7 linked regions of the Rattus norvegicus genome follow. The protein of the gene in region 4 interacts with the protein of the main gene of each other region in a pairwise test. Links are inferred from orthologs where the notes say so. Each region holds a gene or a part of one and is shown on either strand. Other genes may lie near its edges. The genes, in order: Unc45a, Sdcbp, Pak1ip1, Meox2, Csf2, Gpatch2l and Fkbp6.

Evidence for each region.
Region 1: the proteins of Meox2 (region 4) and Unc45a interact in binary tests that used the Homo sapiens proteins (3 or more experiments, as listed by UniProt). The two-hybrid records come from large-scale screens. The link is inferred for Rattus norvegicus from reciprocal best matches to the Homo sapiens genes MEOX2 and UNC45A.
Region 2: the proteins of Meox2 (region 4) and Sdcbp interact in a two-hybrid assay, tested with the Homo sapiens proteins (2 studies listed by BioGRID and IntAct). The link is inferred for Rattus norvegicus from reciprocal best matches to the Homo sapiens genes MEOX2 and SDCBP.
Region 3: the proteins of Meox2 (region 4) and Pak1ip1 interact in a two-hybrid assay, tested with the Homo sapiens proteins (2 studies listed by BioGRID). The two-hybrid records come from large-scale screens. The link is inferred for Rattus norvegicus from reciprocal best matches to the Homo sapiens genes MEOX2 and PAK1IP1.
Region 5: the proteins of Meox2 (region 4) and Csf2 interact in binary tests that used the Homo sapiens proteins (3 or more experiments, as listed by UniProt). The two-hybrid records come from large-scale screens. The link is inferred for Rattus norvegicus from reciprocal best matches to the Homo sapiens genes MEOX2 and CSF2.
Region 6: the proteins of Meox2 (region 4) and Gpatch2l interact in binary tests that used the Homo sapiens proteins (3 or more experiments, as listed by UniProt). The two-hybrid records come from large-scale screens. The link is inferred for Rattus norvegicus from reciprocal best matches to the Homo sapiens genes MEOX2 and GPATCH2L.
Region 7: the proteins of Meox2 (region 4) and Fkbp6 interact in binary tests that used the Homo sapiens proteins (3 or more experiments, as listed by UniProt). The two-hybrid records come from large-scale screens. The link is inferred for Rattus norvegicus from reciprocal best matches to the Homo sapiens genes MEOX2 and FKBP6.

The regions. Positions count from the first base shown.
Region 1 is NC_086019.1:143,703,100-143,707,093, forward strand, and holds the start of Unc45a (protein unc-45 homolog A), read right to left. Parts: upstream 2,802-3,994; 5' UTR 2,678-2,801; coding exon 2,627-2,677; intron 2,476-2,626; coding exon 2,314-2,475; intron 2,106-2,313; coding exon 2,069-2,105; intron 1,917-2,068; exon of another isoform or gene 1,774-1,916; coding exon 1,598-1,773; intron 1-1,597. Other genes in the region: Shisal3 (protein shisa-like-1a), read right to left, coding at 2,892-3,075, 3,504-3,714, 3,891-3,987.
Region 2 is NC_086023.1:24,304,493-24,308,000, reverse strand, and holds part of Sdcbp (syntenin-1), read right to left. Parts: exon of another isoform or gene 2,268-3,508; intron 2,148-2,267; exon of another isoform or gene 1,340-2,147; intron 859-1,339; coding exon 697-858; intron 1-696. UniProt on the Homo sapiens protein: Multifunctional adapter protein involved in diverse array of functions including trafficking of transmembrane proteins, neuro and immunomodulation, exosome biogenesis, and tumorigenesis.
Region 3 is NC_086035.1:23,956,253-23,960,484, reverse strand, and holds the start of Pak1ip1 (p21-activated protein kinase-interacting protein 1), read left to right. Parts: upstream 1-1,429; 5' UTR 1,430-1,488; coding exon 1,489-1,572; intron 1,573-4,232. Other genes in the region: C17h6orf52 (putative uncharacterized protein C6orf52 homolog), read right to left, coding at 1,069-1,361. UniProt on the Homo sapiens protein: Negatively regulates the PAK1 kinase. PAK1 is a member of the PAK kinase family, which has been shown to play a positive role in the regulation of signaling pathways involving MAPK8 and RELA.
Region 4 is NC_086024.1:59,582,586-59,586,829, reverse strand, and holds the start of Meox2 (homeobox protein MOX-2), read right to left. Parts: upstream 2,806-4,244; 5' UTR 2,614-2,805; coding exon 2,100-2,613; intron 1-2,099. UniProt on the Homo sapiens protein: Mesodermal transcription factor that plays a key role in somitogenesis and somitogenesis and limb muscle differentiation. Required during limb development for normal appendicular muscle formation and for the normal regulation of myogenic genes.
Region 5 is NC_086028.1:38,887,184-38,891,067, forward strand, and holds Csf2 (granulocyte-macrophage colony-stimulating factor precursor), read right to left. Parts: upstream 2,491-3,884; coding exon 2,341-2,490; intron 2,246-2,340; coding exon 2,195-2,245; intron 1,484-2,194; coding exon 1,358-1,483; intron 623-1,357; coding exon 515-622; 3' UTR 509-514; downstream 1-508. UniProt on the Homo sapiens protein: Cytokine that stimulates the growth and differentiation of hematopoietic precursor cells from various lineages, including granulocytes, macrophages, eosinophils and erythrocytes.
Region 6 is NC_086024.1:111,612,969-111,617,234, reverse strand, and holds the start of Gpatch2l (G patch domain-containing protein 2-like), read right to left. Parts: upstream 2,805-4,266; 5' UTR 2,733-2,804; exon of another isoform or gene 699-2,732; 5' UTR 689-698; coding exon 27-688; exon of another isoform or gene 1-26.
Region 7 is NC_086030.1:26,966,125-26,969,632, reverse strand, and holds part of Fkbp6 (inactive peptidyl-prolyl cis-trans isomerase FKBP6), read right to left. Parts: intron 3,480-3,508; coding exon 3,370-3,479; intron 1,510-3,369; coding exon 1,419-1,509; 3' UTR 1,417-1,418; intron 220-1,416; exon of another isoform or gene 1-219. UniProt on the Homo sapiens protein: Has an essential role in spermatogenesis. It is required to repress transposable elements and prevent their mobilization, which is essential for the germline integrity.

The sequences.
Region 1 (3,994 bases), on a different chromosome or scaffold from region 4:
CATTCTTCTAATATTACCATTTTCATAAACACAACACACACATACAAACACTCATTCTCTTTTTTCTTGTTTTTTAAAATACAGCCCAGGCTGGTCTTGAACCATTTTAATAAACACACACACACACACACACACACACACACACACACTTTTCTTTTTTTTTAAATGTAGCCCAGGCTGGTCTTGAACTCACAAAGATCTGTCTGCTTCTGCTCCTGAGTGCTGTGATTAAAGGTATGCACCACCCACCAGGTTTGGCCTTTAGTGGACAGTTTGTTGTTGGTTTTTTTTCACAACAGGGTTTCTCTGTGAAACAGTCCTGGCTGCCCTAGAATGCACTTTGTAAATCAGGCTGGTCTCAAATTCACAGACATCTGCCTTTCTCTGCCTCTGGGATATTAAAGGTGTGTACCACCCCACTGGCCTGGTGTACATTTTTAACAGGCCTTTATTTTTATTGTTTGTTTTTTTAAGTCAGAGTCTCACTATGTAGCTCTGGCTGTCCTGGAACTCATTCTGTAGACCAGGCTGGCCTTTAACCCAGAGGTCTGCTTGCCTCTGCCTCCCAAGTGCTGGGATTAAAGGTGTGCACCACCGCCCGGCTTTTATTGTAAAATGTTAGTATTTTTCATCGGACTTACACAGATGCACCCAAATGTTCCCAGACATGACATATTATTTGGGTCCTTAAGTCAGCGACAGAGTGCGTTCCTATATGTAATACCACATATCTTGCTTTTCCGTTTACCAATCAGCAGAGCCCTGTCTGGTCACACACGATCATTTCTCAGAAACAGCACTGACCTAGTCTGTTTAGTTTTGTTCTCTCCTTGCTGAGTATACAGGCAAGTCCCAAGTCTCTCTTACTATAAACAAAACTGAAATAAAAGTCAGACATCTGGGGGTTGGGGATTTGGCTCAGTGGTAGAGCACTTGCCTAGGAAGCGCAAGGCCCTGGGTTCGGTCCCCAGCTCCGAAGGAAAAAAAAAAAAAAAAGTCAGACATCTGAAACTCCAACACTTGGGAGGTGTAGGTAGGAAGTTAAGGCCATCCACAGCCATGCAGCAAGTCCAGGACTAGCCTAGGTTGCGTGAAACCCTGTCTAAAAAAAGTAAAAATAAAAATGTTTTTGGAAGCAAGAGAATCAGGGGTTCGAGGCCAGCTTTGGCCACGTAGTGAGTCTAAGGCTAACTAGATCATCACCTGTTTCTTTACAGCTTTGATATGCTAATGTACTTCGGCCTTATGGAGCCAAATCAATTCCTACTTTCCCCAGGTACTGTAAGAGCCCACACACCCACATCCACACCACCTACCTGCCTCATTCTTTGCCAAGTACAAACGTATACATACACCGAAGAACCACACTTCAAGCATTATTATTATTATTTTTTTGGTTCTTTTTTTCGGAGCTGGGGACCGAACCCAGGGCCTTGCGCTTCCTAGGTAAGTGCTCTACCACTGAGCTAAATCCCCAGCCCCCACTTCAAGCATTATTAATGTGTGTTTGTTACCAGTAGCTCCCGTCTGGAGCACTGTGTCTATATCCTTGACCCAGACCCAGGAAGTCCCCAACTTCTCTTGGCTCTTCACATACCTTCTCCTGAATCTGGCCCCCAATGTTCCTCAGGGACTCCTGGAAAACTTTGTTCTTGGGTTCTAGGCTCACACATCTCTTCAGGTCAAGGACAGCCTGGTCCAGGCGGCCCAGCTTCTCTAGGGCTTGGCTTCGTCGATAAAGTGCTTTGACATCCCCACCGTCCTTTTCAATGGCTGAGCACAAACAGGAGCTCTATCAGCACCCATGAGGCCACCGTCTCCAGGCAAGAGCAGTAAGGATAGATCTTGAGGGCCAAAGGAAGATAGGGGTACGAATGTGGAGCTCTGTGCTTCAGCCTCAGAAAAGGTGAGGGCAGCTGCAGAAAAGGAAAGGCCGAAGAAGTGGGAAAGCAAGTAGAAAGACGAGTGTCTGGGACCAAAGGAGGAGAAAGGGATGGCTCGGTGGTCCCAGAGTCCTTGCCCACCACAGAAAACCCATTGCTCCGTACGAGGGCCCACACCCCCCTACCTTTAGATGCCTCTGATTCTGCTTTGCTGTAATCTTCCTGTAAGAAAGATCAGGAGCCTGAGAGGAACTAATCGAGTGGCAACGACACCCCTGTTTTACTGAGCCACCTGATCCCTCACCACCCATGCCTAAAGACCACTGGCAATTGTGGGTGGCTAGAAAATGCCCAGCTGCTGCGCACAGCAGCGGCTATGGACAATCCCAGGCACAGGTAGAACCAGGTTAGAGCAACCCGACCCCCTCACCAGCTTGAGGTGGCAAGCAGCCCGGTTTCGGTGCAAAATAGCCTGGTCCTGGGGTGTCGCGCCAAGACTCAGGGCCTGGGTGTAGGCGGTCAAGGCGCCCTCGTAATCCCCGCATTTGAACAGCTCGTTGCCCTCCTTCCGCAGCTCCTCGGCTGAGCTGGCCTATGGAGAGAAAGACGGTGAGCAGAGCAGCGCGGTTGGAAGAGGAGCCGGGTCCGGGCAGAGTCCCATATAGGGCTAGAAAGAAGTGACGGAGTCCAGGTACGAAGGCGCATGTGCGAAGGGGAGATGTCGCAGGAGAATCAGTACGCACCCCGGGGTCGGAAGGTCGGGGCTCGGGGGTCCCCGGACCACTCACAGTCATCACGAAGCTGAGCTCCAAGAGCCGGTGCAGGCACAGTCACTGGAGCTAAGGTAGCCCTGGGCTCCGGAAGATGCCGGTGACTGCCCCGCCCCAGCAATGCGTCAGGGTTACGCCAAAGAAGGCGAGGCCAAGAAGAGGTTGCAAGGGCAGGGTACTCGGCCGCGTTGCGCAGGCGCGGGCGCAGGCGCACGGTCAAGGATGCTTCCCGAGCGTCTTAGTCTGTTCCCACTGGGACCTGTAGGGGGCGCGCGGCAGAGGCCCGAAAGGAAAGGCGGCGGCCGCGGGAGTTTTGCCTTTCTCTCCGTCCCGGACCACGGCAGAAGTGCACGAAATCTGCAGTCATCAATGCCATCAACAGTAGACTGTAGATGCCCAGTGCTAAGAGCGGGCCTGGGCCTCTAGGGAGAGAGGAGAGAATCAAAATTGTACACTGGCTGCACTGTACAAGTCAGGGTTTACAGAGCCAAGAGTCCCGAGAAAGCGCGGGATAAATATAGACTATGTGCGCATATTTTGCAAACAAATTTGGGAGCTCGCAATACCTTGAAGACGAACACGGCTAGATTCAGAATTAAACCCCCTACTACAATGTGTCCATGGACTACAAGATCCTCTTTATTAACACCGTCCAAACCCCTTAGGACATAAAGCAGCTTCCGTTACTTCGTTTTCAATTTTTACAGTATTGTTTGTAATTATGATTTAGGTGACTTCCTCTCCACTAGTCTGGAAGCTACAAGTCTCCCAACGCAGAATTCAAGGACAGAGCCCAAAACACTGAAGCGCCCTGTCAGTGTTCTGTGAATCTGGGGGCTAGAGTTCTTACCTGAGGATGGGTGGGGGCTGAAGAGTAGACAAGTTTACTTGGTACAGGGCCTCAAATTCATCCAGGGTACAGCAGGAACCCCCAGCAGCCTGCAGGTGGCAACAGTAGGCTTCCTCGGGAGTATCAGAGAGGCGAGGACAGAAAAAACCAGGGTAGTGGCGGCCTTCGGCATCCCGTGTAGTCTGACACAAATGGGGGTGGTGAGCCAGTGCTGGAGAGAAGCAAGACGTCTATAGAGAAGGGAGGTTACCCACATCCCTGGCACCCTGTTCAAAGTGCAAAATGGGGTCCAAGTCCCTAACAGAAGAGAAGAGGAGGCTCTCTCCACCCACCACTGGCAGCTCTCCCAATTCCCCAAATCACCCTCAGAGGATAGGGAAAGTATACCTGAGAGGTCGGTTGGCTGAGCGAGGTTCATCCAACTGAAAAGCAGTCCCACACACAGGCCTGTCAGCAGAAGCCCTGGATTCCTCTGGAGGCCCATGAGAAGT
Region 2 (3,508 bases), on a different chromosome or scaffold from region 4:
TGTGCCAAGCAGTAAACTAGAACGGTGCTAAGGCACCTCTGCTGAACTATACCACACTTGAGCTTCAGTGAGGCCAGGGCTTTACGAGCACAATGACGGATCTGAAGCATGGACAGAGGGCTACACACAATCATGCCCTCAGCCTTTTGAGTGGAAAGGTAGTGTTCGTCTTTCCTGCCTACATCAGCCTCATTCAGTTGAATACTGTGATACGCTTATTTTCTATGTGGAAAGATGGACTCACTGAAGCTAAGGAACAGTTAGACTGCAACAGAATCCAGGAGGATAATGGTTCAAATTTTATGAACAGAAATAACAAACTTGCAGAACCACCTCATAAGTAATTATCACTTAGTTTAAAAATGTGCACCCAATTCTCACTGGTCCACTCTTCCTTTACTCTCACATATGCTGCCCTATGTGAAGCCCAGAATTCTATCACACGCATGCTTTCATATGATTATATAAACCCAGTGACAGCACTCGTCTCAGTAAAGAAATTCAGAAGAAAACTGTGGGATCTGCTTGCAAGTGCCAGCACGGCTTCTTTAAGCGGGTGTCCCACGTAAAAACTCTAGATACATAATATTCCCATTGTAGATGGGTGGTTATGACTAGCCAAACTGTTTTCATTTCAATGTTTGACATTAATATTCTGAGACCTATTTAGATAAATTCAAAAATATAAATACTTACATTATCTACTGACTTCAGTCTGAGCCCAATTTTTCCATCTTGATCCTTACACAAAATGACTTCCCGAATCCCTTGCTTAATCTCTGCTCTCCTAATCCCCGCATCGTTACCTGTCACAGGTGCTACCATGTAGTTCACACTGGATGGCCTTGCTACCAACTGCTAAGAAAATACAAAATTTGACAGTATTTAGAAACACAGCAACTAACTGAAACACATTCAGTTATAGTTCTTACAACTATCGCTCATTAATAACTTCCCTCAGGAGTTCTTACAAATATCGCTCATTAATAACTTTCCTCAGGTCGAGTCTGCTCCCACAATAATGACAGTGCTTTTATCTCCTCATTCTTTTGGTAATTTACTCCCCCATAACCTTGGGAAGATAAGACTCAGTGACTTGTCAGCTGGCACCCCTGCGTTCGGGGTCAGCATATACTTCGGAAGTGCCTCTGCCAGAGACCACATAAGTGACAACAGCTGTCTCAAACGTCTGCATTGCCCAACGAGGTCATGCGGCCTCAGCCTGGGTAAGTGTACTTAGATGAAGCTGGTGCGCCCCTGAGAGCAATGCATGAGTCATTTCTCAGAAGACACTCTGTGGCTGACAGCAGCACTGGGGATTGCCTTTATTTCAAACATATTTTCCTAGAACTTAAACGTCACACTAGACTTTTGCAACATTAATTTTCCAAGATTTTCTGTGGTGTAATCATAAAATTACCAATTTATAAATAAGTTCAATGTGAACAAGGCCTTAAGCCAGGAATGATATAAGGAGACAACATAAAAACATGTTAAACTACTCTTGACAAAATCTCCATCTGTACACAAACAGGATTAGGAAAACCAAGGCGCCAAGAGCAGGGCAGTGGACTGTGGCTGATCTTATATGGAAGGTACGTCAGCTTCAGAGGGACTGCAAAGCCACAGCTAAGATCTGCGGAACACAAACAACTAGGAGAAAACGCAAGCTCGATCTCCGACACGGATCTTAGCAGTGCCTTTTTTAATCTTCACACTAGAGGCATAAGCAGAAGTGCAGAAGCGGAGCTACAGCAAAACCAGAGTCTTCACAGCTGGAGTGGGGCAGGACGGTGCACACCCAGAGGTAGGTGGATCAGGTTTGAGGCCAGCCTCAAGACCTATCTCAAAACAAACAAAAAAGCTCTTCACAACCAGCCCTTCACAACCAAAGAAGCATTCACCAAACTGAGAGCCCACAGAATGGGAGAAGTGACTGGAAAATCATCATGCAGTAAGGGGCAAATATCCCAAGGAATAATTAACTCAAAACTCAACAGCGGAAAAAGCAAACTCAAGAATGGGCAAAATGCCTACATACAACCTTTTCCCAAAGATAACAAACGGGTGTGACAGATCATTTATCGTTAAAAAAGTCAAAGCCAGAACAATGACATCACCACCTCATGTGTCAGTGACATCACCACCTCATGTGTCAGTGACATCACCACCTCATGTGTCAGTGACATCACCACCTCATGTGTCAGTGACATCACCACCTCATGTGTCAGTGACATCACCACCTCATGTGTCAGTGACATCACCACCTCATGTGACAGTGACATCACCACCTCATGTGTCAGTGACATCACCACCTCATGTGACAGTGACATCACCACCTCATGTGTCAGTGACATCACCACCTCATGTGTCAGTGACATCACCACCTCATGTGACAGTGACATCACCACCTCATGTGTCAGTGACATCACCACCTCATGTGACAGTGACATCACCACCTCATGTGTCAGTGACCTCACCACCTCATGTGTCAGTGACATCACCACCTTATGTGACAGTGACATCACCACCTCATGTGTCAGTGACATCACCACCTCATGTGTCAGTGTGCTGGGAACAAGCAAAAGAACCTAACTAAGTCCCACCACTTCGTTTTCAGACTCCAGTTAATCCTAGGGAGAAACTACATTTAAGGTCCCAGCCCTAGGGGAGCTGGGGACTTTTCCTGAGCTGAGCAGCTTCTACTATAAGGAAACAGCTGAATGAGTCCAGCCATCTAAGGACAACACTCCATCTTGCTAGCAGCGTCAAACTATGTTCATGTTCCCAGACCCAGGAACTTCCTCCAATTGGTGAAAACTCCCTTGCTCAACCCCTTATGTGGAAATATAATTGGACAATAGTACAACCCACCCCACTACCCTTGCTTTATGGTTTCATCCTTTATGTCATAGAGCATCCTTTCAGGGTCATAGTTCAGCCCGTAAGTCTATTTGACGAGTAGTGGCTTGATTATAATAACTTTTGTCATCTGCATTAACCTGGTGTTTGTCACATTGGATCCATGTTGGATTCAAGCAGACCCCACAGCAAATATTACCTATCAAAAAGACAGAAGTGCTCGTAAACTCCTGTGTACTGTCAGACAGTGAACATATCTGGAATAACCATTATGAAATAGTAACAAGGAGCCTCATGTGAAAAACGCATGTGCCATACAGTCAGACAATCTCCCTTGCAGGTATATACCAAAAGGGAAATAAAATCCCTCCATGCCAATGACACCCGCCTTCCCGTGTTCACTGCAGCATTCATCACTGTGGTCAAAGCTGAGAAACACTAGTGTCTGTCAACAGAGGACTAAATAAAGAAAGTGTTGTCTGTAAATGCACAATGGCTTATTACTAAAGCCATAAAAACATTGGCATTGGAACAGTAAGATTGACCCTGGAAGACATTATACTAGAGGAAATATGTCAGAGACAAAAAGCTAGTACAGTGTGATCTTATGTAAACTCTCTCTATACAGTCTCAGCAGGAGGAAGCA
Region 3 (4,232 bases), on a different chromosome or scaffold from region 4:
AATAAAGCACAGGACTCTGAAACAGTTTTACTCATCCCCATTTTTTGGAAATGATACTATTGCATTAAAAATTGAGTATGAGCGCCCTGGGTTTGGTCCCCAGCTCCGAAAAAAAAAACTGAGTATGAGCTAACGTAAACTGTATCACACCACGGGTAGGACAATAATCAGACCTCTTTGTTCCAAGCTAAGGAGACATATTCCAACTTTAGTAATTCTCTGGAGAAAATAATTAACTAACATGCTCAGGGTTACTAGCAGTAACTGTACACAAATTAATTAATACAAGGGTTTCCACTGGACTGGGGGCTTGCAAGTGGAATAGCCCAAACTAGAAGAACACCGCCCTTCCCATAATTGAAAAATCTTCAGAACATCCAAAGTGAAATTATTTCCCTCAGACTCGAACAAAACCGGCCGTCAGAGAACAAGTGTTTGAGAATAAAGTCTCAGTAAGTACTTAAGGACTCCATTAACTCGACACATACCTGTGTCAAGATCTGACATAATCACCCGCTATGACGTATGCACTTTTGACATCCTCAGAAAACTCATCCCTGACCCTTCCTAAAATGTATGGAAACCTCGAAGTTAAAAAAAAAAAAAGATGTTGCTTTCATTAACTTTTGCACTTTGCCCCTTAATATAGGTGACGTACACTAGAGGAAATGCGAGTCTTCCATTTCGAACCCTACTGTCCTCCTCTCTGAAGACAATCTTTTTCCCCCGTGGCTCAGAGCGTGTCCTAACGCGGGCCAGTTTGATTAGATCGGAGAAGCCAGCAGGCAAGAAGGGCTGAGGAGATGGACCGCTTGGCCTGCGGGCGGGACACGGACTGGCAGGATCGGGCTCTCAGTCCAGCGAGGGGACACTGCCAGCTCTGGTTCCAGCGAGCCCTGATCGTCCCCGGGCCGACCCGACAGAGAAGCCCCTAATCTGCTCTCTACACTAAAAGGAAACCCTTCGCTTGTGACCCAAGCCATGGGGTGGCTGCAGGCGCTGACCTGGGCGACGAAGCGAGAGACCGCCTCTTAATAGTAAGAAAATTACAATCGAAGGAAACCTAACTCTAGACTCCTAATCCGCTGCCACACTCCAGGAACTACGAAGGGAGTTTCAACAACCGCAACCTCCGAGGCCGGAAGTGGATCCGCCCCTTCCTTAGGCGCACCGGAAATTGGTGCTTGAGCGGAGTCTGTCCCGCCCACTCCCCAAGGCTGGCGGAGCTCACGGCTTCCATGGATTTGCCTGCTTGCTACAACTTTTTTCTCTGCTCTGCAATCCTCCTCCTGCGGCTTCATTCCTCCAGCTTGTCGTAGAAGGGCCACGTGACATTCGAGAGCGTACTCCGTTATTGCCATCTGCAGGCGCCTAAAAGGTGCCCCCTGATGGATGACGTATAATTTGCGCGCCGACTTCCGAAAGGCGGTCCTCCGCTTCCATTGGGTTCCCACGCCGGCTTCTCCGGCAAGGCACGTGTGCTGCTGAATGGAGCTGGTCGCTGGCAGCTACGAGCAGGTCCTCTTTGGGTTTACAGTGCACCGCGGGCCCGCGAAGAGTGGCCACCGGGAGGTGAGGCACCGCGAGTCCGGGGCTGCGGGGGACCGGCGGGCTGATTCCTCCCCGCCAGAACCGTGGCGTCTGTCGTTTATTGCTGGGTCCCCGTGGAGGACTTGTTGGAAAACGGACAGGTTTATGCAGATAATCCTAGCTCTGGAGAGGCTGAGACAGAAGGATAGTGAGCTCAGAGCTTGGGTAGAAGGATCCTGCTCTTTATAGAGTAGAGGCTTTTCAGAATGAGATAATATTCACTTGTTAAAGTAGATAAAATGTCCACAGAAGGAAACGAAAAATGTTCATGTCGATGGGGGGAGTAGATGAATGGTTGACAGAGGAGGTTGGGGCCAACTTACAGAAATGAAGTTTGGTGGGAGGACTGTTTTGGGGTGTTTTGTGTTTTTGCCTTGAAAGGTAACTATAGTCGACAGCAATTAATCGTATATTTTAAAGTAGTTACTGGAGAGTATTTTGAACTCAAAGACATAGTTCATCGTTGAGGGCATAGGTTGTCTTTTTCATACCTGATCTATGTGTGCATTGAAATCCCATTGTGCTCCATAAATATATACAGTTATATGGTAATTAAAAAGAAAAAAACTTAAAGTATTCTCAAGGCATGAAAAACTGGCAATTTTATAACATACATGAAAAATAAGGTGTGCATTTAAACTGACAATTACTATAGTTCTTCAAGTTCTAATGTAAAAATACCTTTACCTTTCACTGAGTTTCAATCCTGGTTAACAAACTTCAATAGAGCTGGTGAGATGGCTCAGCGGTTTAAGCGCTGGCTGTTCTTCCAGATCTGGTTTAATTTCCAGTCACCTACAGTGGCAGCTCACAACTGTAACCAACGGATCTGATACCCTCATACAGACATCTATACAGTCAAAACACCAATTACATAAAATAAAAGTTACATATAAAAGAAGTATTCCAACTGGATTGGGAGGAAGAAAGTGATGCAGACTTACTATTTACTGTGGGCAGGGGGAAATGTGCCAGAGCTGTGGATCCTGCTCTTGTAGCCTTCTTGGTCGAAGGAATGGCGAGCAAAAGAAATACAGGGAGGTAAAATGTAGCACAGTAAGAAATGTATTTTTGTCAGGTATGAAAATAAGATACAGTAAATTGCCAACATAATAGTCAAATAGAAAACAGGATTAGAAGTGTCACCTAGCAGGGCCCCACCCTTAATCCCAGCACTTAAACCCGGCAGAGGCAGGGGGATCTCCAGGCAAGGATGGTTTACACAGGGAAATTCTGTCTCAAAAACAAAACAAAACAAAACAACTCAAAAAACAAAAAATACCCAAACAAGCAAAAAAGAAAAAACAAATGTGATCCCTTAATACTCTAATGATTATTTCTTGAACAGTTGTACTTATCACCTACAAATCTTTTGTTGAGAATTCTTTTTTTTTTGTTGTTGTTGTTGTTGAGCTGGGGACCGAATCCAGGGCCTTGCGCTTCCTAGGCAAGCGCTCTACCACTGAGCTAAATCCCCAACCCTGAGAATTCTTTAGTGTGTGTTGTGGGTTTCTTGTTGTTGTTCTTGTTCTTGTTAAGTATACTCATTCCAGAAGTACAGCAACCCTGAGACTGATACAGCCATTCTCATCTTATAGATGAACAGTTGGGAGGTTTATAGGGCAAGAGACACTCAAAGCCCATGGTTTATGAATACAACATGTCAAGGTCCTCCAGATGTTTCCCAGGCTTATGTTGTTAACAATTCGGGGTGCTGCTTCTAAACCTAGCCAGTAACCAAGATAACCAATATTATTTATGTAATTTGAACAAACACATGATGTCTTGATATAAAGCTGTACCATGATTGAGTCAGGTGGCTCATGTCTGTAATCAGGAGGCTGAGGCTGGAGGATTCAGAGTTTAAATTTAAGCCAGCTGTCGTGGTACCTGTCTTTAATCCTAGCACTTGGGAGGACAGCCATAGCTACAATATGAGACCCTGGAGAGGGCACATGGGGGGACAAAAGGAAGCCTGCTGTTCCTGAGGAATGAATGGACTACCTGCTCTGTAGTTCTTTAGGACATGATATGTAGTGACTGACTTTAAGCATATGTAAAGAACTTTGCTGGTTTTGCTTTTTGGGTGGGGTTTTTTTTTTTTTCCTTCCCTGGTTTGTTTGGCTAATAAATTTTCCCATGGAGCTCCTTTAATTTGAAGAGCACTGCATTTGTGTGTGCCTTCTTCTGTTCTTTGCACTCATCCAGTCATGGTTCTCAGACCAGAAGTATATAGTAACAAGCATCTGGTCCCCAAGACAAATTACTAGCAGTTCTCTAGGGCTCGTGGTAGTTCTTCTACACACACACACACACTATATATATATAATCCTGTTGTTTTCCTTAAGGGCTTATCATGGTTATCTCTGTATCTTCACATTAACGTGTTTTCTATCTCTTTTCTTAAAGTGAAAGTATTATTTGAACACAGACTTCTCTGTTTATTGTTTTTTCTACTACCCATAGTGGTATCGAGCATATATAATAGAATAGTTACATAGACATAGAGAAAGTGGGCAGTTATTGGAATTAATCTACATAAAAATTGAACATTTGAATAAATTACTGACATGGACGTCTATGGGATCTACGTTACTGGGATCTGGAAGCATGTTCCTGAGTTCATCTCTCCTTACACTCCT
Region 4 (4,244 bases):
TGACATTATCCTTCCTATTGATTATATTTCCCATCTTTGTAACGTATTAATACACTGGGTGGTTGGCACAAATGTTTATTCTCTTTACTTGTTTTGGTGTTTAAACGAGTTTCACCATGCTAAAACAAGCTTGGCGTTGCTGTGTGCTTACTTGCCCCTGGTAAAGGTGATGAAAACCACTGCTAGTCAGTATTAAGACCATTATATTAAATAACGTTGAATTAAGACCGTTATATTAAATAGTAAAACAAATTGGGAAGAGCTTGGCATCTCACTTTCCCTGTTTCCCCACCCAAAAATAACTTGTGCCTGAACAAAAATTCCTTCGTGTGCGCAAATAATCTTTAGGGCATTGGTTCAGCTCAGAAGTAGGTCAGTTTCCCCCTTGCAGAAAGAAAACAGGGAATGGGGCTTCTGGTCCTTCCTGAGGTAACTACCAACCTGCAGAAGCAAATGGAGCATTTGTGCTCATGAAGCCCAATCTGAGGAAACCCAGCGGATTCTAATGCCTTCTTAGGAACCTTCTCAGTGTCTTAGGATTTCACGCACATTCAGCAATAACCGCTAAACAAAATGACAGTGTGGTAACATTCTTAGACATAACTAATCATGATGGAGCATTAAAAGTTCACCCTGGACCTAGAAAATCGCAGGTTCAACGCGGCTGGGAAGGAAGCAGTCAGCCCACACTGGGGTCAAGAAAAGTTTCTATCATCTTTCAACCCCTTACAAAATACACAGCCCTTACTGTCCTACACTGCAAATGCGATTTTTTTTCAATTCTTCAAACTAATGCCTCAAATTGTATGTTCTAACTTTCAAGTCGCTAACACAGAAAATTAAATAAATGCAAACACTGTGCTAGTTAAGTGATGTCTTCCAAAATCTGTATCCAGGTTGCCTTGTAACTACAGGGAAGATTCAATGGAAGAAAGAAAGAACAGAAAGAAAGAAGGGAAAACGGAAAGAGGAAAGATAGGTAGGAAGGAAAGAAGAAAGGAAGAAAGTAAACATCTTTACAATGAGGAATATAGTTAAGGGCTTTGTTGTGCTTCCTGGAAATTTTCAGTTTTACTGGGCTGCCGGGATGTACTGGCTATTGAACTTTCAGGCCCCTGAATTCTTCTGGGAGGCTCCCCTTTTGTTGGGCTGCTCAGGTTACCCACACTTTCTCTGTATCTTCTTCCAGCGCTGTCAGAGCTGTTGTCTGTCAGCTCTCTTCGCTGCACCTCCAAGCAGTACTCAATTGGTGAAGGCTTTTATTTTCCACTCTTGAAATTCAAAAGTTTTGTTTCCTTTAGTTGGCTGATTGATTTTTTTTTGCTTGTTTTGTTTTATCCTATGTTAGCACCACATGAGTGTAATCACTATAAGAATACCCTTTCGTCAAGCCCTTATCTATTTATTCGCAATTTTCAGATGTATTCCTTAAACACTTCTAGATTACTGGATAATGTCTTTTTCGCCAAATGAATAGAATGCTTTTTAAATATCATTTTAAGTAAATGCTATTTAAGGAACTCTGAAAATAAAATGTAAATAAAAAGTTTTGGGTTTCTTTTTCTTTCTTTTTTTTTCTTTTTTCTTTTCTATTTTTGCGTATTTTGTCAAATCCAGTTAAAGTTCAAGATATTGTGCAATAATGTGGAAACCAAGCTAATGATAGGAAAAGTCTAGCTGTTCAGAGTTGGGAATTGGAAAGAAAAAGTCAAAGAGAACCGCATGCACGCACACACAGAGACATGCACGCACGCCCAGAGGATGCAGCATCCCAAAGAGCACACCCCGCCCAACCAGTGGATGGACCGCCACGCTCCTTAACCGATTTCGCATAGTGTCACTTGCTCTTTCTTCAACGCTTCTGGAAAACTGATTTGCGATCTTGGGGGGCTTTGAACGGCTGGATGTAGATATATTAACTTCAGTGAAACACGTGCTCCTGAATTACAGGGCCGACCCTGCATAGATGAATTCGGCCACCAGAGAGAGGAAACGCTAGCTGCTTCTTAGTTTGTCTTTCTACAAGAACCATCCCTACCTCCCCTGCATCTTCCTAGCCCAGAGCGCACTCTCCCCAGGATTGTTTTGCCGACACTCACCTGAACTGTCGCTTTTTCTTTTGCTGCCACTTCTCTTCTCCACTTCTGCGGGTGACAGCGCTTGACGGCCATAATCCCCTGGTGCGCACGCGGCTCCGGTCGGGGTGCTGGAGCCCAGGCTAGAAGAGTTGGAGCACAGGACCGGAGGGCTGCTCCCCAGCTCCGGGGGCCCTCCGGAATCAGGCTGCAGGCAAAGGCTGTGCCGGGCCGCGCTTGGCGGGGAGGACATCTGCGGGAGGTGCCAGTTGCTTTGCAGAGCCTGGTGCTGCTGCTGCTGGTGGTGGTGATGGTGGTGGTGGTGGTGGTGGTGGTGCCCCCTGTGATGCTGGCTGGCAAACATGCCCTCCTCATTGGGGTATCCCGCGATTATGCAAGACGAGGAAGATGTGGAGAGTTCGGGGTAGGACATGTGGTCAGATCTTCCATGGAGGGCCAGAGAAGACTGCGAGAAGGGGTGCAAGCCTTGCGCTGTGGCGTGGGGGCTGCGCAGGCAGCCAAAGAGGGGGTGTTCCATGGCATGCAAGTCTCAGCTTCCAAGCAGAAGACTTCACGAAGGTCCCAAAGTCCACCAAGCGCTGTCACTTTTCACTAGAAATCCTAGGACTCTCCCCCACTCACTCCTAATGTAAAAGCCGCGCGGGTTTGAGCAGAGCCCGCTAATCCCAGTCCTGAGCCGAGCGGCCAGTCTCCTGCACGTATAAACACTAGGACCTGGAGGAGCTTCCCTTGCAGCTGCTCAGATGTCAAGTGTGGGAGAGGTGGAAGCCAAAAGAAGGTGGTCCCAGAGAACTGCTTTCAGGGGGGGAAATGGCTCTGAGAGGTTATAAATAGAGTGTAATGTGAGCTGGGGGCTGGCTTAGGAGCCCAGCGCTGACCACATGCAAACTCCCTCCAAAACTCCCGCTCAGTCAGCGCCACCGTACTCTCTCATTTCCAGTTCCCAATTGCTGGCAGGACAGGAGCGGCTGCCCCACGCCCGTCGGGTCCTGGGAGCTTCCACAACAGTTAGTGGAGCGCCCAGAGCCTCAGTAGCTCAGGGACACCACCGCGATCTATCCCATAGATTCCCGTGGCCAGACACAGAAGCACTCGACTATGCTAAGCCAGCACCCCGTGTCTGTGCTCGCTCACTGTTCTTGGAACCTAGATTTCCCAGCCTTGGTGGGGGTTGCAGTCACCTACAGGCGCTCTCTGACTTTTCAGATCACAGAGAACTTATTAGAGTTCAAGAGAAGGAAAAGAGCGAAGCAGTCTAGCTTTTCAAACTCCAAGACCACTCGCACTTCCCGCATTCAGGGGCACATTATATTTTTCCCTTTTAGGTGTTTTAGGATAGATTGTTAGAAAACCCGCACCAGAGAGGAGGTTGTAGGGCTGAGCACCAAGGATAGCACAGAGCTACTCTGAGTGCGGAATGGAGAGGTAGCCAGTGGGGTGTGCCTTAAGCAGAGATGGATGCAAGTTCTGGTGCCTTGGTGGCACATATTTATGTGCCACTCCAAGTGGTGTCCCCCTTTCTTCTGTTTCTGACCGTGTCCTCCCAGCCCTATGTCTCTTTAACAACCCAGTTTGTTCAATTTCCTCAACACTCGCTCACTGGGAAAGTTTTCTGGGTCAGGAACAACCCTAAGAAACATCAATTGAGCAAGTATAAGTTGCTCCCAGCTTCACCCTTTCTAGTCTAACCCTACAGGAGCCAATTCACACACACACCACCCCGTCCCCCATCCGTTGAGAAATGAAATTTCTTTTTTTAGCTTACAGTGCTCCTCTTTGCATACATTCCGTTCGTTCCTTGCCACCTCTCTGTTTTAAGCAGATAGCAAACTCAACATTTCCTCAGAGTCGACCCTGCTATGATGGTTCATTTCCCCCAGGTTTACAGCCTGGGCTCCTGGAAGTGAACTACGAAACTTGCCCACTGGTGAATTTGTGAGAGCCGGGTTGCGGTTGACACAGCCTTTAGCTTGCTTGACCTGCCACAGAGTCTACTAGAGGTCCTCTCTTTAACCCACAACAAGCTTTGGAGAATGAGCTGCAGGAAAGTGGGTCCTGTCTGTGAAGTGTCTACAAGGAGGATGTCTGCAGTAGCCTACTGTGTTCAGGGCTTGGGCGTGCCACTACGGTTAACTGCCATATGTTTAT
Region 5 (3,884 bases), on a different chromosome or scaffold from region 4:
GCTGGAGCAGAAGCTCTTGCTCACCCCAGAAGGTCCGCCAAGGCATGTGAGACCCCACACCCAGGCCAATGCTGGACCCAGGCCTTGATCTCACCTCCCTTTGGTCATGACAGCATTGATCAATACCCCAACCCAATAGACCCCCCCCAACTCCATCTATGCCCCTCTTAAAAATAAACCAGATAGCTGTACAAACAAAAGTTTTAATAGTTTATTATTCTTGTAAGACATCCTCAATAAATAGTTACAAAATTAAATAAATAAATAAATAAATAGTTGTTTTAAAAATATAAATATATAAATAAATATTACTTTTCCCTATCAGTAGAAAATATCTCTCCTTTGTCTTCCGCTGTCCTGTCGGAGTCCGTGGTTTCAGAGGGCTATACTGCCCCCCACTGTGGCTGTGTTCCCATCTTGGTCCCTTTAAGGCAGAAATCCTGAATTCCTGGCTCATTACGCAGGCACAAAAGTGCAATCTGAGAAAGTGGATCCAGAGCTGGCCTGGGCCTCCTCATTTCTGGACCGGCTTCCAGCAGTCAAAAGGGATATCAAACAGAAAGCCTTTAAGGTTCTTTATGAAATCCTCAAAGGTGGTGACTTCTATTTCACAGTCAGTTTCCTGAAGGGGATGGGGAAAAAAAAAAAACAGCACTTGAGTCCAGGTGAGTGGTGACTTGGGGAAGTAGCCTGTGTATTTCTCTGTTGCTGCTATGAACTCAGAGGCCAGAAGCCCATTCGAAAGGATCAGATGACGCTATAGCTGCCCATGTGCTGCCTAAGGCAATGGTATCCAGAGACTGTTCCCTAACAGGAGGACTGTCTCAGGTCTTCAGATTGGTTGGACAGACTCTGCTGAGAGGCAAGCGGCCAGCCTAAGGCATCTCCTCAGCTCTAAGGTCACAGGGTTCACTGTCTTCGATGAGGAAAGAAAATAGGAATGTTTGGGGTGTCTGCCCATTCTTGGAGCCTCCTCCCTGTGTCCGTGGAATACAGGCACCTCCACAGGAAAGTCCTGCCAGGAAGTGGCACCTGGGTGCTGGCTCTTGGCTCTTCAGGGCTTGGGCAGGCCCTGAGCTTCCTTGGGTTTGCCTCACCTCTGACCTCATGACTGATAATGGCATGTATGGCATGGGCAGGTAGCTCCTCCTGGGGAGAGCAGTGGGCTCTCTGCTGTTCCTCAGCTTAGCATCTGGGGATGAGTAGGAGCTATGGCCTGTTCTTGAGGGGCTCCTGTGATACATCTAACAACATGGAAGCCACTTACTGGGACCCTGAACAGCTACAGTCAGAAATCTCTCCTTACTGGCCCCGCCCTCCCAGACTGAGACCTTGGGCCCTGACGTTGTGTACTCACCGGGGTTGGAGGGCAGTTCGTCTGGTAGTGGCTGGCTATCATGGTCAAGGCGCCATTGAGTTTGGTGAGGTTGCCCCGTAGACCCTGCTTGTATAGCTTCAGGCGGGTCTGCACACATGTCGGCCTCTGTGAAAAGCATCCATTTGTTGGTAAGCAAAGGCCGAGCACCCACCGAATACAAGCTATATTCTCCCCACTCCCTTCTATTCCCACCAAGTGGCACAGGCTGGGGCTAGTCATAACACTGTCCTGACCGCTGCCCTTCTCCCAGCCTGGCCCAGGCCACCCTCAGCCAGCACAGCCACGTTTATAGCCTGGTACCTCAAGAGGTTCCCAGTTCCAAGACTCCCCCACCCCGACCCCCCAATTCTGTAAGAGAAAGGTGCTTGCTGTAGGAGAAGGGGGTGGCCAGAGCGGAGGATATCCCCCAAACCTCTGTGTGGGCAAGCATTGTTTCAGAAGGCCCTCTGTGCCCCTCTATGGTCAACACCCTCTTTCCATGGTCATAGGGCGCAGTGGGAACCCCAAGGCAACAAGGTCAACTCATAAAGTAACTCTCACGTTCCCATAAACCCTGAAGATCTCCGACCTTTGAAAGCTAGCTCTGCCCAAACTTATTGCTCACTTGATAAAAGAGTGCACATGACTGCCACAGGGGCATGGCTGTGGACGATAAAAGAGTGCACCTGACTGCTGCAGAGGATTGGGTATGGAGATCTTGACTACCCAGACTCTGCACCCTCCCCATAGCAGCCACTGACAGGGAAGAGTGTAGAAAGCCATGCAAAGGGCTATTTAAAGCAGCCTGTGAAGCTACACAGAAGAGAAGCAGCTTACCTGGATGGAGAACTCATTAGAGATGATGTCTACGTCTTCGTTCTTTTCGTTCTGTAAAAGGGAAGTGCTGTGTTACCAAGCTGACAGGCAGGAAAAGACAAGAGCCAACTGGTGGCCTGAGAACAGCCCAACTCTCCCTCACTCACCTCCAGAGCACGCATGTCATTTAGGAGGCTCAGAGCTTCTTTGATGGCATCTACATGCTTCCAGGGCCGGGTGACAGGGTTGGGCGAGCGGGTGGGTGCTGAGAAACTGTAGACCACAATGCCCAGGAAAAGTAAATTCTGCAGCCACATCCTCCTCAGGACCTTAGCCTTTCTCTCTGAGTACTGGGCTCACTGCAAAAGAGCTCTTATATACACAGTTAGAGGAAATGATTAATGGTGACCACAGAACTCCAGGGGGGCGGGGGAACTACCTGAGTTGTGGAATCTCCTGGCCCTTATCAGCTATACATGGGGCCGGTGAGCCTTCCCCCAGGTTGTCAGGCTTGGGGGGTTTTCATTAATAAGTCCTTCCAAGAACTGGCAGCCCACCTGTGGGTTTCTTTAAGGGCCTCTCCCACCCTGCCTGGGCAGTCTAACCAAGCCTCCGGCTAGCCTCTCCTTTTTGAGGGGCCTCCAGGCATATTTGGACTTCCTGGCCTGGAGTGGCTGGGGCGGGGTTTGGGAGATACTGAGTGGGGCTCTTGCTTCCACAGCACCTGCTGTTCCTGGAGGCCTTTGGGCAAGCTGTACCCACTCCAATGGCTCATTCCAGCCCCAGCCCTAGCCCGTTCTCTTTCCAGCCTTCTTCAGAGATGTGTACTCCCCACATGTCCGTCTCATTATCTAATTAGACAAGGTCCAGCCCAATGGCACAATTCTATAATGGCCTCCACAGACTCCCACTGAGGAAACAGAGCCATGGGCAAACAGCCCAGCCAAGCCCCACCCCCTGCCACCTCGGGAGAAGTAGGAATGGCAGCAATGGGTATGGAAGCCAGGCAGACTACACCATGTTCTCTTATGGTACCATCCCAACTGACTGCTACAATCCCAGTTACAAATCCCATTTACAAAGGCATGTTCGATCTTAAAAGCTCATAGCATGGCTAGAGCTTCTGACTGGGGCAGGTAAGGCAACCCCAGTTTAACTGCTGATTCTGCAGGACCCCCCTTGCCAAGTGACTCTTCCTTTGAGCTATGCGAGCCTCTTTACCCTCTCCAGAGCAGCCTACCATCCAAAGAGGACATATTACTGCTATCTGTACCACTAGTGGGCACCTGGGGTCTCTGAGGCTAGCTGTAACACAGTAGCTGGCTGGTACCAAGCACAGGGCCCCCCAACTTCTCTAGCAAGTTCTCCCAGGCTTAGTTTACTGCACAGCCTCTTGCTCCAGCCCACCTCCCGCTCCAGAAGCGCTCTGGAATCAGGAACTGCTTTTGGAAAAGCTGTGTGCTCTCAAGGAGCTAACAAGTGTTTGATTTTCACAAGGGCTTTTGGAGAAGACGGCACGAGTTTGTGTTTGCACAAGGGATCCGGCCCAAGCCTTCCTGTACAGGAAGTTTGAGGCCATGGGGATACATATGTGTATCTCTTTAGTCACGTGTGTATGCTGGTGATGTTGGATATATGTGTACTCACAGGAACATGCCAGGGTGGAGGGGGTTTTACCTAAGGGTGCATCTAACGTGAGCCACACTTACTT
Region 6 (4,266 bases), about 52 Mb from region 4:
CTTGGCTTTACGGAGGGAGAGCTCACCTTTCGGACATGTTCTCGTCGGAGCCGTGTTTCTGTCCCTCTGCTTCGCACTCCATCCTTTCTTTCCTTCCTGTTTTGCTTAGGAAAGTCCGACTTTCTGCTGATTCACACAGCCCATGGCCAGATGAGGTCCAGGGAGTATTCTCCTTCCATCGGGATAAACGCTGCTTCTTGGCAGACTTGAACCTGCAGCCTCTCTCATAGCTCCAATCTGACACTTTCAGCTTCTGCTGAAGGCTGGCAGCCACCTCGGATGCCACTCTCTTCACCTTCCGCCGGCGCCTGAGGGGTCGACAAGGCGCATTTTCCGTAAAGGAGTCAGATTCATGCCAAGAGTGCTGCTTACCCCTAACGATGGCACTGAGAGCTGGGTGCCGTTTGGCCACCACTGTGTCATCAGAGTCACTGAAGTTGGTGAGCGGAGCCACTTCTCGACAGTCCTTGGTGGCCTCATCCAGACTTGACTCAGAGGCCTCGCTGAAGCAGCAGGCGTGCTCAGCCAGGTGAGTAAAGTCGGAACGGCGCTTCCGGCCTCGGCGCTTCCGAAGCTGCCGCCTCTGCTGTCTGGGGCTCAGGGCCATCTCCTCCCACAGCTCACCAAGCTTACTCTGCTCAGATGTCTGCTCCAAGGCTGAGGCTAAGTCATGCACCAGCTCATCCATGAGGCCACATCTGCCAAATAAAAGCAGAAGAGATGCTTTAAAAGACCTGCTGCTTTTCCAGAAAGCTTATAAAGCACATAATGCTATTGGGCTCCCTGGCTGGCTACAGAAAATAGACTTCTTTCATCAGCTACCGTTTCTACCATCCACGTACCACAAAAAGCAGGTGTCTGGCCATTGGCGAGTACTGGAAATCAACATATCCAGTAGCTTGCCAGATGACAACTAGGACATTAGCAAAAATAAACAAATTGAGCTTCCTCCTTTCTCCAATTAAGTGATCCCTTGATTGCCTAATCACTGGAGAAGAAAAGCAAACCACACAACTTCATCATTACGGTAGAGCCAAGAGAGCACCAGGCATGAACCAATCACGATAGAGGGTCACACTGAGGTCTGGGATTTCTGCTAAAAAGGTTGCGGTAGGGAGGAGAGAAAGAGCTGAGTGGCACCTATGAAGAAGACTTCACGATATTCATAGTCCCAGAACTTTCGGTGACCCAAGTAGGTACTCAGAATGGGGGAAAAAAAAGGAAGCCCACGTCTGGTACTACCATGGTACCAACTGCCACCTGAAAGTTATTAGAAACAAACTGCTGTGGAGTATGACACTGATTTGATGTTGCTAGCATTGTTGTATTGTTGTTGTTATATTAGTAGTAGCAGGAGCAGCAGTGTAGGACTTTTAGACCCCTCATCCTGGTGGTGGCAGCAGTAGTAGTAATAGAAACACTAACAGTACTAGTAGTATAGTGTTGAGTCACCCCAATTATGTGCTTAGTGCCAATCACACAAAATCTGGGACATAAATGAAACCAAAATGGAGGGACAGCATAAAATCTCTAAGATACCTGGCTAACAGAAGCAACCCTTTCCAGGCATGCCTAGCAGAGGCAATTTTCAAATTTTCGGTTTTCAAAAAGAAATGTCTAATATCATCTGCACAACACCTAAATTTTGTATGCTAAAATAGCACTTTCTTTCCAGCTCTTGGTAAGCTCAAAATACATCTTGCCCATAATTGGAGCTTAAAGCTGAACTCAGACCGTATTTCCCTTCATGCAATTTACTTTTTGCAAGGGGCTTTCTAAAAATTAATCTCACAGGGTCCCTATGTCAACAAATTCAAAAGCAGGAAAAGTCTTCTGGATTATGTGTCACACTTGTGAGAGCAATAGAGCCACCTTGCTCCAAAACCACCACGGCAACTTCCTCAAAGGGTCAAAAGCCTTACACATAAAAGACCATTTCCCTTTAGCAACCGGTAGTAGTTTAAAATGCCAGGACTGCGGTTTGGAAGACAACTGTCCCTAAGCCCGAAGCTGATAAACAAGTGGGAACAACACGCCTAAGTCTCTAATAAAGAATTACAGCTTTGAAACTCAGGCAGAACTGCACAAACTTTAACGTGGGACAAGTATACTAAACAACGTGTCATCAGAAGCTGACATAGAATTCTTCCGCGTCTCAAAGGTACCCTGGTACACCCACACCTCCAGCCTCACTCTCAAGAGTACACCCTGGAGACCCTGGTCTGAGTCACAGGACGCTGGTGGGCCGCAAAGCAGCGAGCTACTCTCCCAGTCAGAGTAACGAGAGGTGGGGTAGACAGAAGTCAACTTCTTATTTGAGTTCACCTGAGACTGGAGGTCAGCTGTCTAGGGCAGAAACTGTCTCAAATCTTGTCCTAATGACTGCATTCCCTCTGTTGATGCTGGGGAGAGAGGTATCACAGCACCACCACGGATATGAAAAAAAGCCGCGTTTTGAAGGACTCTCTTCCATTTCCAGCCCGTCCTCGGGGGCTAGGGAAACCCTTGCCCGGGACACCAAGCCTGAGTTCTCGCTGTCGCCCATCTAAGGGACATTCCCACGGAGGCGGCCGTCCCTCAGAGCCCAGGCTGAGAAGACGCACCTAGGGTAGCCAGGCCCCGCCACCCTCTGTCACTCGCCACAGCCCAGCGGCGCCGTCGGTCGCCCTGACGCAACCCGGAGCCCTTATCCCGCCCGGCATTGGCCCAGCCGCCGCCATCCTGCTCCTCACCGGCTGCCGCAGTCGCTTGCACCCGGCGCCGCCTTCGGGGCCGTAGCTCCCAGCCTGGGTTTCCCTCTCTGACCTCATTTCCGGTCTGGGCCTAAGAGGTGGGGCTGAAATGGTAAGGGAGGGGGCGGGCTACAAGAAAGGACAGGCGCCCGCCCTGCACTTCCGCCCTACGGTGCGCCTACTTCCGCTCCACGGTGGGCGGGGCCTCTGGGAAACTAGGAAGTAGTGCCTGGAGGCAAGTCAGGACAGATGGGCTAGTATGGGGTGAGGATACCCTTAGGACTGAATGAGACAAAACCTCTCCCTAAGGGTGCTGACCTTAAGAAGTGGGTCGTCTGCCTTCACATTAAGTTACTCATGACATTAAAAGTGTACATGGCTTGAGCAAAAAGCAAATCATACTGTATTATAACTCAAAGCATTAAAGAAATATTAACTCCATATTGAGTGGTTATTGATATTCCATATTCTGTAAGTGGAAAAGAGATACATTTCCCGTAGAAATACATTTCCTGTAGAAGACATAGGCTCTCTTGGAGCATTTTGAACTGTGCACAGCAGCTTCTCTCTGAATAATGCAATATCAAAGGGGTCACTTTATACTGGAGAAGCTAGCTAGCCTGGTCTAAAGAGTTTGTTCCAGGACAACCAGGACTACACAGAGAAACCCTGTCTCGAAAAAGCAAACGAAAGAAATTACACCACGTATGGTTAAGAACTAGCCTACAGAACACTTCACCAGTATTCCTCAAAACTGTTAAGGGCATTGTATATGTCACACACAGAATGTATGGAATGTCTTTCTATATTGAGGGAGTTCCTTGTTCATTAAGTTCATTAAGAAAATGAATCCATTAGATAGGGCTGCAGGCAAGTCTGTAGGACATTTCTTAATTAGTGATTGGTGGGGGAGGGCCCAGCCCATTGTAGATGCTGCCATCTCTGGGCTGGTGGTCCTGGGTTCTGTAAGAAAGCAAGCTAAACAAGCCATGAGGAGCAAGCCTGTAAGTAGCATCACTCCACGGCCTCTGCACCAGCTCCTGCCTCCATGTTCCTGCTCTATTTGAGTTCCTATCCTGATTTCTGCTAATGATGAACAATTCTGTGAAAGTATAAACCAAATAAACCCTTTCCTCCCCAGCTTGGTTTGTGTTGGGTTCAGGAATCGCCACTCAAAACAAACACTGGTTTCAGTTAAGCAATACTGGATGTTCAGGCCCCAAAAAAGGACTGTGGTATCAGAGTCAGAACTAAGTTCAAAAGTTTAAAAAGCAAGGAGAGGAGCAGTTGGCTTACTAAGTACTGCATTATCAGATAACCTTTAAGCTGACTGGTTCTGAGCAAGATAAGGGGAGGTGGATGGGTGGAATTTCACAACACTGTGATAACAGAGCATAAGTATGATAATCATAACTTTTGGCTTATTAGTAGCATTTTTTTAGTGTCAGTCACAAAAACCATAGTGAACTCAATCACAGGTGCAGGAAGGGCTGCCTGATGGTCAGCTCTGACTCAGGCTGCATTAGACATAACA
Region 7 (3,508 bases), on a different chromosome or scaffold from region 4:
TTATATCTCTACTGAATGTGACAAGAGCCAAATCACAAGAGGTCTTCTGGTTGCAGCTTAGTTCAGAAGTTCCCCTGGAAGACTCAGAGGATGGGATCAAAAAGTCATGCCTGCAAAGGCACTAATAGTGGGCATCTGCCAAGCAGACAGCAGCACTTCAGAACCTGCTAGAGCGCATGGATGAATGGGCCTTTCATGACCCCTCCTCTCAAGCCGTTTCTGCAGACACAAAGGGACAATAAAGGTGGGATTTAGCAGAGAGGCCCGCTCAGCAGCTGCTTCCTTCCTCTTCCTTATCTAACTTCTCAGCAGAGTGGGGCTCTCACCCTCCTCAGACAGGTGTTTGAGGCAGGTGAATTGGTTCCCATTAATTTTCTTAAGTAAGAGCAGAGCAGACTGAAAGGTCCTCTTGGGCTGTAGGGACACTCTTCCCTGTGCTTGCTCACCCACAAGATACTGTTGGGAAAGCCAAGATTTTGCGGGCAAATGTGAGGTCGCGGTGTTCAACCCTCAGCGCACACACACATGCACAAACAGCAGGCTGAGCATGTAGGGTGGTGAGCAGAGTGCCTGCCTCCTGGGCACACAGGCCCGGGGCTCCATACCCAGTACTGCCTTCATCAGACTGATTGCACACGTCTCTGAGTTTAGTATTCAGTTGGAAGAGTCTGGAGGATCAGAAGTCCAAGGTCTAAAGAAAGGACTGAAGGAACTCAAGGGGTTTGCAGCCCCATAGGAAGAACAACAATATCAACCAACCAGACTCCACCAGAGCTCCCAGGGACTAAACCACCAACTAATGAGTACACATGGAGGGACCCATGACTCCAACCACTTATGTGGCAGAGGATGGCCTTGTCCAGGATCAATTGGAAGAGAAGGCCTGGTCCTGTGAAGGCTCGTTTCCCTAGGGTAGGGTAAAGCCAAGGCGTTGAGGTTGGAGTGGGTGGGAGTGGGAGCACCCTCATAGAAGCAGGGGGAAGGGGTATGGGAGAGGGGGGGAAGGGGATAACAAAACAAAAACAGAAATTCAAGGTCATTCTAAGCTACACAGTGAATCCCAGGCCAGCCTAGGCTACATGAAATTCATAACAAAGACACTCAATTTTTCTCTCAAGCCCAGCTAAAGTGTCACACTAACAATTTCAGTTCCAAGAAACTTTGAGGAAGAATTTAATTTCACAAACCACGAAAAAGTTTTTTGAATGGGAGAGCATGGGACCTCCCAAACACGAATATAACCTCCAAGTGTTCCTCCTTCAGTGACCCGCTCTGTGGGAAGCCCCCATGGTGTATTCTGTCCTGTGCTTTCCTCAGTAGAGAAAGCCACTGGTCACTGAGCCGGGCTGAGGAGGACCATCTTCCCCAATGGATAGAACCCTGAATCTTTTCATGAATGCCCAGCCCTCTGGGTACCTTCAGTTTCCTCCCACTGAAGAGCCGCTTCCACAGGGAGCAAACATCCGGTGACACATCTCTCTCTCTCTGTCCACATAGTCCCTGTAGTGGCTGTGGAAAGAAAGGCAACTTTGTACGTTTGCAGGAGGTGACATCTGCTGGCTGGAACTCTCTGGTTACAGCCACTAAATGGCCAGCACTGGCTATCAGTCAATGACAACACTGTGGGGACAGATGCCAGGACAGAGGGGGCTAAGGCCACTGATAAAGGTCCTAGATACAAGGCCATCATTTGGAAAGACAGTGCTGGGAAGGCAAAAGCCAGTGTGAGTGGGCTCGGGCACAGCCCTGCTAAGTGTCCCATGTTCCCGGTGCTGTCAAACTCATTCCGAGCTCTTTCCTCCTAAACAAGGATCAGACTGCCCCACAGCCCGGCATCTAACCTGAGGACACTTCCCATACCAGGAAGGAAGCCCCTGGGAACCCAAAAAGGCCAGCAGGAAAGAGGCTGCACTCAACTGGAAACGACACACACTTCAGCAGTGGTGAGAGAATGCTTACCCTTACTTAAGGAGAGAAACTCACCAAGGCAGGAAAAGACACGTTAAAAATGGTGGCTAGTCGGGAGCTTATGGGAAGATGTTTTCAGGTTCTCTACAACAAACACAGCTTCTCTAAACAGAAAGGGTGACTTTTTTTTTATAAAGCTTTTCTTTTTCTTTTTTATAATTGCGTTTATTAATGTCTGTGTTGGGGGAGAAGTGTCCGTGAAGTCAGAGAACAGCTTGTAGAAGTCAGTTTCTCCTTCTCTCATATGGGTCCTCAGAAAGAACACTCAGGCCTAAGACCTGGCAACACAAGACTTCTCCATTGAACTACCTTAGTGATCACTTCTAAAAGATTAATGTCTTCCTCACTTGAATGAGTCACAAAGAATCAATTCATTTGTGGTTCTAGAAAGATTCCTCAGGAACAAGGGGTCTCAGGTAATTTTGAGAACAGGTAGAGTCTTAAGTACAGCTTTACAATAAATTTTGATTTTAGAGGCAAGGTGCAGCCCTAGCTGTCCTAGAACTCACTCTGTAGACAAGGGGAGCTTTGACCTCAGAGGTTCACCTGCCTTTGCCTCCTGAGTGTTGAATATTCAGACTTACTTTGTTGTGGGGAATCTAAAATAGGTTTCTTGTACATTTATTTATCCTGTACGTGTATACATGCCTGGAGGTCAGAGGACAATTTGGAGGCCAGTTTCTCCTTCTACTATGTGGGTCCTAGGGATCAGAATGGTATGCACTCTTGGCTCACCAACCTTTAGGTTTTTGAACCTAGAAGGGAGGAGATACCTTACTTAGACCCTAGAAGGTCTGGCATTTGTGGTCTTCCTGCCTCAGTACCCGAGGTGCTAGGACTACTAGAGTGGCTCACCACACATGGTTTGCACGAGACCTTATAAGGTACATGGGGACTAGAGGCATAGCTCAGTTAGGAAAGGGGGGACCCAAGTTCAGATCCTCAGCACCATGCAAGAACCAGGCCCAGTAGGTGGAATGTGTCTGTAATTCCAGCATGGGGTGGGGTGGGGAATGGGGTACCAGTGGACAGAGACAGGAGGACCTACAGACTGGCCAGGAGCCTGGTCTAACTGCTGCACTCCAGGCACACATTCAAGGTTGTTTTCTGGCCTACATGCACGCACTTGCAAATATACACAAAGAGTTGCCTGGGCTGGCTTCTGTAGGGAGAGATCTGCTGGTCTTCAGGTGCCACCAGAGGAAGGAGGGAGATGCTCAGAAGTGAGGCTTCCTCACACAGAACAGCCTGCTCAAGGCAATGAGTGATGGACTGGGCAGGTGAGATGGCCGCTCTGAGCCAGTCTGGGGCAACATTCCTAGCCTGTCTGCCGTCCAGTTGGTTGGGTGAACTGCAATTCTCACAGCCATGTCTCACTGTGCCTCTGGTCACACCTCTCACCTGGACAGCTTCTTCAGCTCATTATTGATGTCATGGTTACAGGGCTGCTCCTTCTGAGCTCTCACTAGAAAGTCCCGAGCCTGCTCATACTCGGTCAGGAGGAGGCAAGCCTGTGAAGAAAGGACAAGACATTAGGGGA